Caenorhabditis elegans: one gene and its partners. The protein of the gene in region 1 purifies or fractionates together with the protein of each later gene. This does not show direct contact. Each region holds a gene or a part of one and is shown on either strand. Other genes may lie near its edges.

What was found. The genes of interacting proteins can lie anywhere in the genome.
Region 2: the proteins of cysl-3 (region 1) and uroc-1 fractionate together in Caenorhabditis elegans (co-fractionation; one large-scale study listed by BioGRID). This does not show direct contact.
Region 3: the proteins of cysl-3 (region 1) and F48E8.3 fractionate together in Caenorhabditis elegans (co-fractionation; one large-scale study listed by BioGRID). This does not show direct contact.

Annotation. Positions count from the first base shown.
Region 1 is NC_003283.11:3,774,025-3,777,828, forward strand, and holds cysl-3 (Cysteine synthase 3), read right to left. Parts: upstream 2,113-3,804; 5' UTR 2,110-2,112; coding exon 2,010-2,109; intron 1,965-2,009; coding exon 1,793-1,964; intron 1,735-1,792; coding exon 1,331-1,734; intron 957-1,330; coding exon 722-956; intron 676-721; coding exon 573-675; 3' UTR 512-572; downstream 1-511. Other genes in the region: rips-1 (Methyltransferase domain-containing protein), read left to right, coding at 1-57, 105-410; R08F11.1 (Non-lysosomal glucosylceramidase), read right to left, coding at 3,804-3,804. UniProt on the Caenorhabditis elegans protein: Primarily catalyzes the formation of cysteine and acetate from O-acetylserine and hydrogen sulfide.
Region 2 is NC_003282.8:16,536,710-16,544,729, forward strand, and holds the start of uroc-1 (putative urocanate hydratase), read right to left. Parts: upstream 6,041-8,020; 5' UTR 5,998-6,040; intron 5,659-5,997; exon of another isoform or gene 5,638-5,658; intron 5,615-5,637; 5' UTR 5,614-5,614; coding exon 5,488-5,613; intron 5,210-5,487; exon of another isoform or gene 5,185-5,209; intron 4,745-5,184; exon of another isoform or gene 4,718-4,744; intron 4,688-4,717; coding exon 4,416-4,687; intron 4,370-4,415; coding exon 4,228-4,369; intron 4,182-4,227; coding exon 4,053-4,181; intron 4,049-4,052; exon of another isoform or gene 4,028-4,048; intron 4,017-4,027; exon of another isoform or gene 3,996-4,016; intron 3,700-3,995; exon of another isoform or gene 3,679-3,699; intron 3,449-3,678; exon of another isoform or gene 3,428-3,448; intron 3,062-3,427; exon of another isoform or gene 3,041-3,061; intron 2,742-3,040; exon of another isoform or gene 2,721-2,741; intron 2,661-2,720; coding exon 2,368-2,660; intron 2,301-2,367; exon of another isoform or gene 2,280-2,300; intron 2,097-2,279; coding exon 1,755-2,096; intron 1,703-1,754; coding exon 1,581-1,702; intron 1,501-1,580; exon of another isoform or gene 1,480-1,500; intron 1,376-1,479; and 10 more.
Region 3 is NC_003281.10:5,459,669-5,464,922, forward strand, and holds F48E8.3 (fumarate reductase (NADH)), read left to right. Parts: upstream 1-1,710; 5' UTR 1,711-1,747; coding exon 1,748-1,894; intron 1,895-2,300; coding exon 2,301-3,225; intron 3,226-3,583; coding exon 3,584-3,708; intron 3,709-4,091; coding exon 4,092-4,376; 3' UTR 4,377-4,714; downstream 4,715-5,254. Other genes in the region: F48E8.2 (E2F-associated phosphoprotein), read left to right, coding at 4,730-4,890.

The DNA.
Region 1 (3,804 bases):
TCCTTCGATTTGGTGCTTATTTTTGATGCATGCCACGATCAGCGGAGACCAGATTTGGTACTGAAAATCTTAAATTTTCTAAAAAGATATTTTATAATTTTCAGTGCGTCCAAGAAATCCACCGAGTTCTCAAGCCAAGCGGGATGTTCGCTATGGTAGAGGTGCTCGGCTCCAGTAACGTATACACCGATAAAGCCGCCATGGGCCCATTGGCTGCAATGATGTACGGGTGCTCCATGTTCCATTGTCTCCCTGTCGGAAGTAACTGCCCAGATGCTCTGTGTTATGGTGCAATGTGGGGGCAGAAACGTGCTACCGACCTGCTTAAAAAATGCGGATTCCCTGATGTGAAGGTTATTGATACCCCATATTTCCCTATTAATGTGATGTATTGTGCCCAGAAAAATTAGGGTACTATTGAAGCCTTTTAATATTTTAAGTCCGCACAAGACCTACTAAATTAATTTTGTTTAATTTTTGTTTGAAATAATTAAACTCTTTCATGGCTGGCTGGGGAATACAATTTATTTTAAATTTCCAAAAATTCTCAATCTTATGTCAGTTAAATACATTTAGAGACCCAAATATTTCTTCGCAATTCCCATCGCCTCATCGTCACTTGAAAAAGTCAATTGTGAAACTTCATTGAGCACATCCGAGTACAGCTCCGTGGTGCTGAAAATTTAAGTTTCGATTAAAAAAAACTACACTATAAACTCACAAGTATCTCTCTGCAAAGCTGTTCACAGTGGTCACAATCAATTTTCCCTTGTTCTCGGGGCGACTAGCCAGCTCCACGGCAGCGACGACGTTGGCTCCGGACGAGATTCCACCGAGAATTGCCTCCTCGTCGGCGAGTCGCCGCGCCATTTGCATCGCATCGTCAGACTTGATGCGCAAAATTTCCGTGAACAACGAGCGATCGACGTTTCCTGGCACAATGCCGGCACCGATTCCTAGAAGTTTATAATGATAAGAAATGAGTGATAACGAAATGTTAGCACTTTCAGACTCCCTCATATTATGAACTGGCAGAGTTTCAGCGAGATGGTTCTGAACCTCGACCGCAGCCGTGACTTTTAATCATTCTTACACGTAGTGCCAGGCTGTCTCATTACGGTTTGATCTACAAAAAATGCGGGAATTTTTTGCTCAAAAATATGTGACGTCAGCACGTTCTTAACCATACGACATTCAGTTGAGAACTCTGCGTCTCTTCTCCCGCATGTTTTGTAGATCTATGTAGATCATGCTAAACTGAGACACTCTAACACCACGTGCGACAGATGTTCACCATGGGACTATGAAAACCCGTGAATGTAAATCAAACCTTGAATTTTGTGTGGCCCTCTTGGCAGCCCACTCAAGACTGAACTCTCGTATGGCTCAACCGGGTAGATCTCAATATTCGGATTCTGCTCGCGGAGGTATCTTCCGACTCCTGTCACAGTTCCACTCGATCCTACACCAAAGCACACAATATCAACTTTTCCTTCGGTTTGCCTCCAAATTTCTGGCCCAGTGGTACGATAATGAGCGGCTGGATTGGCGGGATTCGAGAATTGATCAAGGCAATGAGCATTTGGAAGCTTATCGACAAGCATCTCCACTTTCTTAATAACTCCCGGATGTCCTTCAGCTGGATCGGACAGGATCACCTCGGCTCCGTAGGCTCGGAGCATGGCACGACGCTCAACGCTCATGGTGGCTGGCATCACGAGAATCACCTTGTATCTAAAAATATCTTATTAAAGTTTTAATTTTTTTTCCGCTGTAAAGTCAGTTGTCAAACCCTCGAATCTTTCCAATATGAGCCAAAGCGATGCCCAAATTTCCACTGGTTCCCTCAACGAGAACCGTTTTTCCGGGCACAATTGTTCCAGCTTTCTCGGCTTCGTCCACCATTGACTTGGCAATTCGATCCTTGACAGAGCACGATGGATTCAGATATTCCACTTTGACAGCTGAAATTTACAAATTTTCAGCGAAATTTCATAAAATATTGTTACCGATTCTGGCATCCAAGCCTTTGGAAATATTTCGGAGAAGCACCAATGGAGTATTTCCGATAGTGTCCCCACTATCCTGAACCATCAATTCACGAGACATTTTCTGAAAATACAAAAAATTGAAGTTTCAAACAGCAGAAATATGAAAAAAAGAGATTAGAAAATTTAAATTTTTATTTTTAAAAAGATGGTTTATTGACGAAGAAAAGTAAATACAAGACGTCAACTGACTCTGCCTCACAACAACATAGGAAGGGAGGAGATGCAAGCGGGAAGACTGTAGGTCACTATTCACCTGCAGGAAGCCCAAATAGATCAAAATATAGATAAAGACTTTTTGATCTCTGAATGTTACCTGACGCAGATTTATTTCTCAGCGAAAATTCCCGCTTTTATTTTAGATCAAACACTGATGGGACAGCATAACACTACAGCTTTATTCAAGTTAAAAAATTTTTTGTTGAAATGTTCACTTTTCAGAAATATTAGTTTTCGATTTCTAATAATTTCGACCGAAGTTTCAGACTTTTTGTGTCTAAAATATTGCAAGTAAAAATTACTTTAGGGGGGCGGAGCCTAGTAAACAAGGTAGATCAAAAATAAATTATGAGAAAAATGTGCGATTGTATTTTTTCGATAATATATCTATTTTGAAAGTAAGAATATTATATGAAAATATCCAAAGAAAACGGGAAAAATTCGAAAAGGCACAGTTTTAAATGTATCCGTCCTATAAAAAATCCATCTAAAAACTTCCGGCAAATTAATGTTCGACAACGGCATATCGGCAAATTGCTGGAAACTAAAAGTTCCGGCACATCGGCAATCCGGCAATTTAAACTAACTTTTCAATCAACTCTAGCAAGTTTAGAAATACTGTTCGTAAAAGTTTACAAAAGTTGGGCAAAATTGAAACTTGGCCGAAATTTGCCAAAAAGTCGGCTAAGAATTTGCGGAAACCACAAAATACGATGGAAGAAAAATCGAAAGACTGCAAGAATTCGGTGTAAAATGAAACCATTTATAACCCCACAATCATCACACTCCGCCTTGTCCATGTCGATTTATCATCGAAAATTTATGCGCCTACTTTCCGCTCGATTGCTCTATGTCTGAGTCTCCACTCCTTGCACATGTCTCTCGCGGTGAACGTGACTTTTCTGATTTTTGTACGCGTTAACTGATGGTCACCAAAAGTAAACATCCCTTTTTGGCAAGTGGTTCAGCGAAAAGTGCGAATTACAGGACATGTGCTTTTTTATTTTTTTAAAAGATGGATTTATTGGTTGACTTGAAATTTACAAATAAAAAAAGCGTATACCGTATTTCTTCTATTAATATGGCTGCAATACTATTTTTCGATGGTCTTCCCGCTTGCAATACTAATAGGGAGTGCAAGACTATTAGGGAGTGCAATACTAATGTTCAGAACATTTTCTGACTTTGAGCTTACTAGTTTTTTTCCAGAAAAAACTCGAATCTTATGTGAAAATTCAGAAAATTTGATTGTAATTGCAACAAAAAGGTACAATAACTTCAATTTCATAGAAATTTTACCAAAATTGTTGCAAAGTAGGCAAAAAATGTTGTTCAAATCTCAAAATTAGTAGGGTGGGTTTGTACCAAAAAAAAAGTAGATGCAAGACTATTAGGGAGTGCAACACTCATAGGGAGTGCAATACTAATTTTCGGAGGGTGTTCAAGGAGCAATACTAATAGGGAGTGCAAGTCTAATAGGGAGGCCATACTAATAGAAGAAATACGGTAAATACAAAAATTGTGCAGCTATTCATTT
Region 2 (8,020 bases), on another chromosome or scaffold:
ACTTGGCAGCAGTGTGAGTATATTTCGGAATAAAAATAACAACCCAATTAATTTTCAGTGGTACCCATTCAAGAAGAAGACGTGGTGATTTTTTGCAAATTTTCTCAGAATTTTTAAGAGCGAATATTTGTTAAAGTTAAGGGTACCCATTTCAAATAATTCATTCAGGATCATAGTATTTTGAAGATAATAAAAAACATAATTTTTTACAAATTGTCTAATACAATACGTTACAAATTAAAATGCAAAGTTGGAAACAGTGAAAAATTCTCAAATTCAACTTGTTTTCAAACCGCATCTCCTATCTCTCGTTTTGGTATACTTGCTTTGCGGTCGACACTTTGTGAATTGTTCATCATGGTACGACATATCCCGGGTTTCCGGGAACGATGTTAATTTTTTTCAGCGGAAAAGACATTTTCGGTAGACTTTCAACTTTTCCAAGCATAAATTTGATAAATAACCTGATGAGTTCCCCTAAAACTACATGTTTCTACTCTTAAAGGTGGAGTACCGAAATTAGAGACTCTGTTTTTTTAGAACAAAATGAGCCCAAAACTACCGAATTTTGTGATGAGACGTTCTGAAAATTTCTTTAAAAAAAGTTATGAAGGTTCAAAGTTTTAGAAAATAAGGCCCATTTTCAGCTAAAATCGAAATTTTATCTAATTTCTCGGTGTTGCAACGTTTGGAATTGAATTTTTATTTATTCATCTCTTTTTAATAAATAATGTGGCCTTTGATTGGGCGTTTATTCGTTGATTTAAGTACATTTATGGTCAGTGAGGCACAAAATGTAACTTTTATTTGTGCCCCAAAGACCATAAATGTAGTTAAATCAACGAATAAACGCCCAATCAATGACCACAATATTTATTAAAAAGTGATGAATAAATGAAAATTCAATTCCAGACGTTGCGACACCGAGAAGTTGGAAAAAATTTTGATTTTAGCTGAAAATGGGCCTTATTTTCTAAAACTTTGAACCGTCATAACTTTTTTTTTTGAGAAATTTTCAGAACGTCTCATTACAAAATTCGGTAGGTTTGGACTCATTTTGGTCTAAGAAAACAGAGTCACTAATTTCGGTACTCCACCTTTAATATGTTATTTTTTAATTCAGCAAAATTAATAAAATAAAATAATCGAACATACTTTAATGACTATGCGAAATTGTAGAAGTTTTCTGCTTTTTTTTAGCAATATTTCCGGAATAACCTCTTTCAAAAAGCGAAAATTATATAAACTTCTCGAAACAGTACGCTATTTTATTTAGTAGTTATTTACGGTTTCAAGAATATTACACTGGCTATTCGTTTTTCTTTTTTTTTTTCAACAGCTTCACATCCCTAAATTTCCTAACAAATATTAAAAATTAAAGTCAAAATTCGTCGGCAGTTTTATGGACAATATGAAACAGCATATATATGATTTCTCGCCAACAAATGCTCAATTTTATGAGATTAGTACTAAATTTCAAAGATACACACACTGAACCCATCAAATTTCTCAAAATAGTGAACATACATATAGCCATAGTGAAACAGTCGATTTTTTTGTTACAACATAAAAGCACTCACCATCAGTATCCTTCAACTCATCAATAATCTTGCATGCTGTCTGATCAGTCAATCTCAAATCTTCCGGCTTTCCAGAAGTACAAACCCATCGGAATGGTCCAAATCCCATTGAAAAGATGTCTCTGAAACAGAATTTATTTTATTTAAATTGTACTCTTTTCAAATAATTATTACCCCATAATATCCTGCATATAACTTGGATATCTAAACGATTTATCATCCTGAGCATCCTCTCTGAGCAAATTGGCTCCAGCTCTCTGGCATTCCAAAAGGAAAGCATTACCGTAATCCCAGAAGTACATTCCCTTTGCAGCAATCTTGTCGATGGCGGCGATTTGGCGGATTAAAGAGTTTTGAACAAGTTTTTTGAATTTTACAGGATCAGAAGTCATCATTTGATTGGATTGTTCAAAAGTGAGTCCAGCAGGGTAAAAACCTCCAAGGAATGGATTGTGGAGAGAAGTTTGGTCACTTCCCAGTTCTACAAGACATTCCGGTTCCTCGGCGAGCCGTTCCCTGGAATTTTGAAAACTCATAGTTTTTTGTCTAGAATTTTTGTGAATAATGTTTTACCAAGTTTATTAATTGTGAAAAATCTTTGTAAAAAATTCTGTAATTTAAAAAAAATCTTGGTTCCGAAACTATGAGATATATTATTTGTATTACAATTTTTTCCGCTTTTCTCGTTTCCTTTAATTATTTTCCCTCTTGCTCCGTAGATCGCCTTTCACACTTTCATAAAAAAATTTAACAACTTTCTGAAACAGTAAAATTTTCTAAAACTCACCACAAGTCAACAACATTCCCCAAATATCCAATACTAATTGCCTCTTTTTTCTCTCTGTACTCTTTAATCCAATTCACAATTTCCTCAAGATCCTTCGAATATACATCCAACCATCCCTGTTGATGACGTTTCAACAATGCAGTATCACTAATTTCCGCAATAACTCCAATACATCCAGCAATCTTAGCTGCTTTTGGTTGAGCTCCACTCATTCCTCCAAGTCCTGCAGTTACGAAAACCTTACCAGCAAGGGAATCCAGTCCCATACGACGACCAGCGTTGAGGACTGTGATCTGGAGAATTTTTACTGTTTCAGGGGGTTCAGAAATTCAGGAGAGTTGTGATGAAATTAATCGGACAAGAAGAATAGATCGAGAAAAACTCATATAGTGACGTCACTATTTTTCTATATGGGTAGAAAAGCTGTAATCTGTTGCATCTGGTCTCGAATCATTTAGATTTCTTTAAAATATTATAAAGTGAAAAGACTTTCAACTTTCTGCTTCTAATAAGTCAATTTTGAAAAACCTTAAGAAAATTACGAAATTCAAATTAAAAAAAAATGTTATCAGTTCTGGTTCATTATGTAACTACTGAAAAAATAAAAATAAAATTTACAAAAATTTATTTTTTCACAGTTTCTACATATTTTAGGGCTTTGTAAGATAGCTATTCGACTCTATTTAAGGTGGAGTACCGAAATCTGAGATTTTGCTTTTTCCGACCCAAGATTCCCCAAAAACTACTGAATTTCGTAACGAGACATTTTGAAAATTTCTCAAAAAAAAAAGTTATGGCGGTTCAAAGTTCTGATAAAAAAGGTCTCATTTTCAGCTAAAATCAAAAATTTTGTCATCTTCTAAGTGTCTGGAACTAAATTTTTGTTAAATTATCACTCTTTAATAAATACTGTGGTTAGTTGAAGTAAGTAAATTTTTTCAGTGGGACAAAATATTATCAGCTTTGGTTCATTATGTAACTCTTGAAAAAAAAATTACAAATTTCAGAAATTTATTGTTTCATTGTGTCTACATATTTTAGGACTTAGAGAGTTAGCTATTAGGAAGGTTTTCAAGAGAACACCGCTATAAATTAAAGCAATATATCAAGTTTTCTTGACGCCACTTCTCTACTACTTTGGTGGAGTTTGGATTATAAAATAACTAGAATAATACACAAAAACTTAACAAAAATCATTCAAATACTATCTGAAACCGTTGTATACTGAAAACCTTCTGTGTAGCCCATATCCCAGAATAAAATTTACTGTTTCAGTGTGTTCATATATTCTGGCAGTAATAAGGTGTTTAATGCCAAAACTTCAGCTTTGGTTCATTATATAACTATTTAAAAAAAAAAATAAAATTTACAAAAATTTAATGTTTCACAGTGTCCGTATATTTTAGGGCTGAGTTAGTTATTAGAAATAACATGTTTTCTTTGAGTCACTTCTCTACTACATTGGTGCAGTTTGGATTATATAAATGACAAGAATCATATTCAGAAAAAAAAACAAAAATCTTGAAATCCTTGAATTTTTGCCTTTGAAATTCCATCTAAAACCGTTGTATACTGAAAACCTTCTGCTTTGCCCATTTTCCAAAATAAATTTGACTGTTTTAGTGTGTTCATTAAATTTGACGGTAATACGGTGTTTTAATGCCAAACTCCATTTAACGGCTTACCGTAGTCCCGTGTACAATTCCCTGTGGTCCAATATAACAGAAACTTCCAGCAGTCATTTGTCCGTACTGCGTCACTCCTAATGCAAAATACTTGTCGTACAGCTCCTTTGTCGAGTAGCTCGGGATCATCTGAAATGTCAAAATGTACGAAGCATCCTAGTTTCCAAAGGCCTACCATTCCATTAGTAACAGTCATTCTTGGCGAGTCCGGGGTTGATGGAAATAGGCCCAATGGGTGTCCGGAATAGAGCACCAAAGTTTGATGGTCAGTCATTGTGTAGAGGTAACGAAGAACCAGACGGAATTGGATCCAATTGCTGAAATATCATTTCTCAAGCATTTCAGAAAGATTCCCATGCTAACCTAAAAACTTGACCATTTCCTCCATAAGTCACCAATTCCTGTGGAAACTGGGCAACCCGCTTGTCCAAATTGTTTAGAATCATCAAAATGATAGCCGATGCTTGTTCGCAATGAGCTCCGATCTCCGAGACGGGCGGCGCGAATAGATCAAAGTTTGGCATGAACCGATACCCATAGATGTGTCCATAGGTGTTGAGCTCTTCAGCGAACTCGGTGGCTAGAAGGACGTGATGCTCTTTTGGAATGTAGCGGAGAGCATTGCGGACGGCGAGCTGGAAGAATTTTATAGTTGAAGCTGGTTGGGACCTGCATTGAAGTTCGAAACAATAAATTTTGGAATTCCACTTGTATTTTATCAAGTAAGTGAAACAGACTTTTGTAACTAATAGCCAACAGCTTTTCAGCTCCTAAATTAAAATTTGATCTGATTCTTGATCTTCTTGATTGTTCTTGATCTCGAAAACTACATAGCCTACCGACTTCAAAAACTGCTCCAAAATTGCAAAAAAATTGTAAATTTTGTTACAGTCTTCTCTTACTTTTTTCTGAACTAGAATTGGCACAACAACTTCATTCAATTAATTGGTATCTCCCAAATTGCGCCGAGCACAGAGAACACTGTGCAACCCGGGAGATGTCGGAACAATAAATTATAACATTGATCTCATTGCAAATAGTTTACCATAATTAGGAGTAGATTTGAAAAATTAAAGGTAAAAATGTTCACTGTTCCAAATATTGCATTTCAATTTGTAAAAAGTTCTATTAGTTAGTCAGTGTAGCATTTAAACTTCTTGATGCAACAAAAAAAAGCTAATTTTATTAAAAACTAGGCAAAAAATTTCAGAGTTTAGCCAAATTTTTCTAAAAAATTTGTTAGTTTAGGCTCATTTTCAGCCAACTTGTCAAAGATTATGTTTCACAGTCTTCTTTAAAGCGCTCAATGAAACAATGAAACTGTTTTTGCAGTTTCAAAAAATTCATTTGAAAAGAAAAAATTCCAAGTCAAGTGCCTAAACGTTTTTAATGAAACAGTACATTTTTTTTATCTTTTCAAAGATAAATTTATTACCATTTTCTCTGTCTGTGTAAGATTACACGGACGCTTTGGTGCGTGAGCCACATTCTTGGCACGTTGCTCCGTTGGATGCTCGAGGAGCGGAGAGAATGGGTCGACGAAGAGAGATGGGATGTTCATGCTGGAAAATTGAGTCTTCACAAACCGAGTCAACAGTATACGAAATTAGAAAAATCAACAGTAAAAACATTTTCTCAATGTGATGAAACAGTAATTTTTAAAAAATAAAATTTAAAAAAAAATTTCTAGAAAATTCTAGAAGTTACCAGATTTTTCTAAAAAATTCTTAAAGTTCCCACATTTTTCTAGAAAATTACAGAAGTTTATAGATTTCTCTGGAAATTTCTAGAAGTTTCCAGTTTTGTTCTAGAAAATTCTAGTAGTTTCCAGATTTTTCTAGAGCATTCTAGAAGTTTTAATACAATTTATTGGTATAGTTCATAAAATTGACAATTGCCGAATTCCAAATTTCGGTAAAATTTCGGCACTCATCAAAAAACTAACCTCAAAATTTGCCAACAAAACCGAACTTATTCTGATCAGCAATGAAAGATTTCTCGTGAATGTTCGACTTCTCCTCCCCCTTCTCCCACGTGGTATGTTCCTTCCCGCCCAATAGATCACCGCCATAAAATTCTCTGTTTTGATGATTCTCGTCTTCTGGTTCCAGGTTACGATCCTTGACGACGACGAAACGGTCGGATGATTGCATTTTTATTGGTTAGTTTCAAGGTGTGTGTGTGTGTATTTGGAAGAGAAAGATGATAAGATCTGAATGCAGAATCTCGCGATTGGGTAGAATTCGAAAATAGAACATTGGGACTTTAAAATTATTTATAAAATTAATTTTTTAGTTACTGTTTCCGCTAGTTGTTATAAATCGGTGATATATATTAAGAGTTTTATTGGAAACACAACTTTCAGAGCTTATAAATTTGACCGTTTCAACTAGTTGTTATAAAACTGCAATTTATTTGTTGCTTACTACCTACATCACATTTGTAAGTTAAAACTGTAAAACGAATTAAAATCTTTGGAAAAACAGTTTTTTCTGTTTTTTGTTTGTTTTTTGGTCCGAAGAATTTCGAAAAGAAATACCAAATTTTGCTTAAAGCATCCATAAAAAATTATAAAATAGAACATTGGATTTAACGCGAATTTAGTGGAAATTAACCGTGAGGCTATGAAATAAAAAATTACAGTTTCAGCTAGTTGCTATGTAGATGCAGTTTTATATTTCCTCACTGAAGCGACTAAAATTACAACATTTTGAATTCTTGCAGAATTTTTGAAATTGAAAAAAAATACAGGAGGAAGGTCTTACCAAAAAAAGTTTTTGATCAAAAATAAAAATAAAAAAGTTTTTTTTTTGAAATATAGTTTTCTTTTGGTTTTTGGCCCGAAAAAAAACAGAACATTTAAGAGAACAGTTCAGCACTTTAGTCCTCCAGGTGTGCTGCTGGACCACCAGGATTCTGAGGAGCTCCAGTACAAGATAGAGCTCTAGAAAATTATGTTTCTTACGGGAACACCCGAAACACGGGTCAAATTGACCGTGAGACTATCCAATTAAATTACAGTTTCAGCGTGTTCTTATGTACAACACGCTGAAACTGTAAATTTATTGGATAGTCTCACGGTATACCCAAACCACCTGCACAATTTTTACTTCAAGCTCAGAATCGCAAATTTGGCTCAAATTGAACGTGAGACTATAAAATAAAATCGCAGTTTCAACTAGCTGCTATGTACTAGTGAACATTCTTATTTCTCATTAATCTTTTTCTGATATTTGCTGTAAATTACAAAATGTCTTGTTAATTACAAAAACTAAGGTTTCCATGAAGGCGTTCAAATTCCCACCTGCCTGACCTTAAGGCGATCTCCGCCTGCCTCTTGCCTCAATACGCGCCTTATTCTAAAACATACACGAACTATTTGTTTTTTCATATCTTAATTTGATTTTCAACAAAATTATTGAAATGAGAAAAAAACGTAAAAATGCGATTCGAGGCAGGCGTCAGGTCCCTGAAACCGCGCCTACCTATTATGGAAGATCCAATTCTAATCCAATCCAAATATGGAATGTAAACGGCACTGCAAGTTTGTAATTAAATCACAATGTTTGAAAAAAAAAACAGATTTTTACAATTTGACAGTTTCAATTAGTTTTTATAAAAATGGCATTTGTTTTTGATTTAGTAAAAATCTTAGTAAAAGAACCAAAAAAAAAAACTACGAATTTTGTTTTAAACTCCCCGACTGAAAATTAAAATTCGTCCAAAAACAAAAAACAATACAAAAAATACTTTAGGTATGTTGCTGGACTACCAGAACATGACGGAGCTCCACTAAATTATGTTTCATCGGGAACATCCTAAAAATAAAAAAAAATTAAATTACCGTTTCAGCTTATGTACAAGAAATTTCTTTTTTTTGTTCGGTTGCTAACCCGACTTCTATCTTAACTATGAAATTAGTTTTTTTTTTCAATTCTTGCACCGTTTTTTAAGGTTTCAACTAGCTT
Region 3 (5,254 bases), on another chromosome or scaffold:
TACGGCCACCCTTGGTTTTCGTTTTCTTTTTTCGTTTTCTTTGCAATTTTTTTTGCTAAACGTTAAGTTTCATGTTCGTTTGTGTTTTTACAGCTATGGGTCGTGGAATAACTTCAACTGACTACGAAAAAGGACAAATTGTGCCAAATTATCTCAAGGCTTCTCGAATCGTCAGATTTTTCGTGATTTGAAACTTTCGAGAGATATGATCACTCGATATGCTTCCAATCCTGCCGCTTATTGCACAAAAAAGTCTTCTGGTCGCACACCTTTTCTTTCTGTCAGACCCAAAAAAAAAACCGTTCGTCGAGCATCCAATTGAACAGTGACTTGCTCGAAAAGTAGGAGCGAGATGAACCTGGCAGTGTCTGTTGAGGCCGTACGACATGTTCTTTTGAAGTCTCAGTTTAACAAAAGACGAAAATTAAGAAAGGCTCCATTCATTACCAAAAAACCGCCAAAACCGTATTCAGTTTGCTAAAATCAGTCAGGGAACTAACTGAAGACAAGTGAGGATTACGGTATAATCATTCAAGCCCAGTTTTTGGTTTCAGTTCATCTTTTCTTTTCTCAAATCGTGCCACTAATCACGGTAGTAATCTGGTTCATTACAGTTAAACTTTTTCTCGTCACTGAAGATGAACTGAAACCAAAAACTGGGCTTGAATGATTATACCGTAATCCTCACTTGTCTTCAGTTAGTTCCCTGACTGATTTTAGCAAACTGAATACGGTTTTGGCGGTTTTTTGGTAATGAATGGAGCCTTTCTTAATTTTCGTCTTTTGTTAAACTGAGACTTCAAAAGGACATGTCGTACGGCCTCAACAGACACTGCCAGGTTCATCTCGCTCCTACTTTTCGAGCAAGTCACTGTTCAATTGGATGCTCGACGAACGGTTTTTTTTTTGGGTCTGACAGAAAGAAAAGGTGTGCGACCAGAAGACTTTTTTGTGCAATAAGCGGCAGGATTGGAAGCATATCGAGTGATCATATCTCTCGAAAGTTTCCAAATCACGAAAAATCTGACGATTCGAGAAGCCTTGAGATAATTTGGCACAATTTGTCCTTTTTCGCAGTCAGTTGAAGTTATTCCACGACCCATAACTGTAAAAACACAAACGAACATGAAACTTAACGTTTAGCAAAAAAAATTGCAAAGAAAACGAAAAAAGAAAACGAAAACCAAGGGTGGCCGTATCATTTTGTGGATTTTTTAAATATGGTTTTTCATGAAAAAATGGTTTATCTTTTTTACAAACGGTTCAGGTATATTTCCAATACTTATCTGAAAGTAAGTTAGTACAGCGAACATTTTCACAAGAAACTATGTTTTGCTATCTCAACCCAGTTTTGAGTTATACCAAAATTTGGGGTGGCCGTATCATTATGTGGAGCACTGTAGTATCGATACTACTAGATCAAAAGTAAATGTGAATAGTTACGGTTATGAATTATTGATTGTTTTTCCCCATCACTTTTTTTTCATGCTTCCCAGATGCCTTATCCATGTGAATATATTTATTCAAAAATCAGCTTTAATTTATTTTATATTTTCCCTTTTTTTCGGTTTTTCTCCTATGTTAGACATTCCATAAATAATGGGTTTTTAAAAAATAATTCTGTCTAATTTTTTCGGCGGTTTTAACCAATTTTCTATCATTTTCTATAATTTCCCTTTGTGTCCGTTGTTGAAATTTCCCCATTGACAGACATTTGATGATTCGGGTGCTCATTTCGCTTACAGTTATGGCTTCTGTGCTTCATGCTGAGCCAACTGTCGTTGTTGTTGGAGGTGGGCTCGCCGGGCTGTCTGCTTCACTGGATATTATCAATGGAGGTGGACGTGTGATTTTGGTAGAGGGAGAGGGAAATACTGGTGGAAATTCAGCGAAGGTAAGATCTTGCGAATTTTTGAAAAAAATCTATTTAACTTCTGGAAATATCGATTGTTAAAATTTATTTTCTCGCATTTTTTTGTTCCAAATTTCTGAAAAAGTTATTTATTTTACTATTAGTTGCAAATTGTGAAAAAAAATAATATTCTGTTTTTTTTCCTTTAAAACTGAAACGTCTCTGAAAAAATATGATAAATTAAAAAATTTCGATTGTAAGAAATTTTCAAATTTAAAAACAGTTAAATCGTGTGAAAAAGCTGGAAATAAAAAAAAAGAGTAACAAATTCTCGTTCTGAAAAATTTCAAAATTAAGTATGCCAAATTACAGTAAAATGTTTTAGTAAGTCTAGGTGATTTTTAAAAAAAGTGTCCAATATCCTCACTTCTTGAAAAAAATATTCCAGGCATCCAGCGGAATCAACGGTGCTGGAACCGAAACTCAGGAGAAACTGGGAATCAAAGATTCGCCGGAACTTCTTGTCAAGGACACTCTGAGTGCAGGAGACTCTGAAAATGACAAGAAACTTGTGGAAATTCTGGCTGCTAATTCAGCAGATGCTGTTGAATTTCTGCGTGGAGTTGAAGTGGATCTGACTGATGTGAATCTATGTGGTGGGCATTCTGTACCACGTACTCATTGGATTCCATCTCCAAAGGAAGGACGACCAATACCAGCTGGTTTCGAAATTATGAAGAGATTGAGAACAAGGCTTAATGAGAAGCAATCGGAGAATCCAGAAGCCTTCAAGCTTTTGACTCAGACTAAAATGGTTGGAATTTTGAGAGAAAATGGAAAAGTATCGGGAATCGAGATTGTAACATCAGCTTCTGGAGAGAAATCAAAGATCATCGGAGACGCTGTAATCCTTGCAACCGGTGGATTCTCTGCTGATGAAACTTTGCTCAAGGAATTTGGAGCTGAAATATTCGGATTCCCAACAACAAATGGAGCATTCGCTAAAGGAGATGGTGTGAAAATTGCGAGAGCTCTTGGAGCAAAGATTATTGGAATGGAAAATATTCAGATTCATCCTACAGCGTTTGTAGATCCAAAAGATCCATCAGCAGGAACAAAGTTCCTGGCGGCTGAGGCTATTCGTGGAAAAGGAGCTCTGCTTATTAACTCAAAGGGACAAAGATTTGGAAATGAGTTGGGAAGACGCGATTATTTAACTGGAAAGATTCTTGAGCTCGCTGAGCCAATTGAAGAGAGTTTCCAAGGAGGATCTGCTGGAAGAAATGCGGCGATTATGATTATGAATGAAGCAAATGTTGAGGCTTTTGGCAGACCTGCTTTCAATTTTTATTCGATTGTTAAGAAATTCTTTGGTAGGTTTTTTTCTGTGAAAAAGTTGGAAAACATTTTTTAAATTAGTTGTTTGTTATTTGAAAAATCCCAAACAATTTTTTTCAAATTTCATTTTTTTTTTCGAAATCCATTAACACTTCTCGAGAATAAGTTCGACAAAATCTTCGTATTAAAAATTCCCAGTTTAAAGATTTTTTTGTCGAAAATTTTATCAGCTTCCTTTTTTTTGGAGTTTAAAAGCATTTTAAATCCAAAACTAATTTTTTTTTCCGGAATTTCTGAAATTTTTAAAAATTCCCTTTTTCAAATTAATTTTTTTAATTTTTAGTTTTATATTATGAAAATTGTATTATTGCTCTGAAATCTGATTTTTTTCAGCGAAATACGAGAACTCCGCGGAGCTTGCAAAGGCTTTGGGTATCGACGAATCAGCTATTAAAACCACTTTGGAGGAATATCAGAAGAGTTTTGATGGAAAATCTGAAGATCCTTTCGGCAAAAAGGTATTCAAATATTTTTAATTTTAAAATTCTTGAAAAAATGACTAAGAATTCTGAAAAGTTGATCAAAATTGCATTTACTTTTAAAACAGACTTTATAAAATCAGAAAAGTGAAAGAAAAACTAAAATTCATAGATTTAGGAAAAATTGTGCTGAAATTGTATTATTAGAAACTTTGAGTAAAACGTTGAAAAATATCGAGAAAATCTTTCCCCGAATATTTGACGATCTATTTTCAATTTAAACTTTCCCAAGCCTAAATTTTTTTTCAAAATTAAAAAAATATCGTTCAGCAAAAAAAAATATCGAAACTGTAAAAACAAAGTTATTTTTGCATCGGAATTAGCCGAAAAATACCGAAACTGTAATAATTTCCCATTTCCAGGTGTTCCCAGTGTCTGCAATCTCTCCGACTGAGCCAATCTACGCAGCAATCGTCGTCCCAGCAATCCACTACACCATGGGTGGCCTGAAAATCGACGAGGCCACCCGCGTCATCGATGAGCATGGCAAGCCAATTGTCGGCCTTTTTGCCGCTGGAGAAGTCACTGGCGGAGTTCATGGTTCCAATCGATTGGCTGGAAATTCCCTGCTTGAATGTGTGGTGTTTGGCAGAATTGCTGGAAAATCTGCGGCTCAATCTGCTGCGGAGACTCGTACCGAGCTCTAATTCGAATATTTTTACAGAAAAAACTCAGTTTTGTGGCTCAATTCTACAGTATAATTCAGAAATTTTCAGTTAAAAAAAACATTTTTTCGCGATCCGGGATTCCCGGACCCCTGTAGATAATGATTCATTTACTAGTTCCAACCAACTTTATATGTTTTTATTATATCTACTACTCTATTCAGCATTTTTATTTTTCTTGTGATTTGCATCTTTATGGGTTCTTCTACACATATATTTATTTCTCATTTTCTCTTCATTTTCACACTCTCTCGTATTTATCGTGTTTCCTTCTTCGTATTGTGGTGTGTTTTTGGGTAATAAATGTGTTTTATTTTCAGAAGAAGCGGCAGACGATGATGATCAACGATGACGATGAGACGTTCGATGACCAATATCCAGCAGATGAAGTGACCGCAGCAACGATGCGTAGACTTGCTTTTGAAAAAATGGATGATGATTATTATCTCGGTGGAGCTGTTGGGGATGAAGTTTTTGATTCAGAGGATGATGTGAGGTAAATACACTGGAAAATGGGAGAAATTGTAATCAATGCCAAAAAAAGGAAATGCACAGCGTAAAAATTTTGGAAAAAAAAACTATTTTTCACTAAAATCACATGAATTTCTAAGTTTCCACCTTTTAAAAAAATCAGACACCGCTCGCAGGTTACGGTAGCAGTAATCCCCGACGCAGCTGAAATTCTTGCTACAGTACTCCATGCAGAAGTATTCAAAGAAAACGACCTTTTTTGGTTACTGTAGCTAAATTTTAATATGTTGGTTCAATAGAAAATCATTTTTGAGAAATATCCCTACTTCATCGAAAAATCAAGTTTTATTTCAAAACTATCCCGCTGATCAAACAAACACAGTATTCCT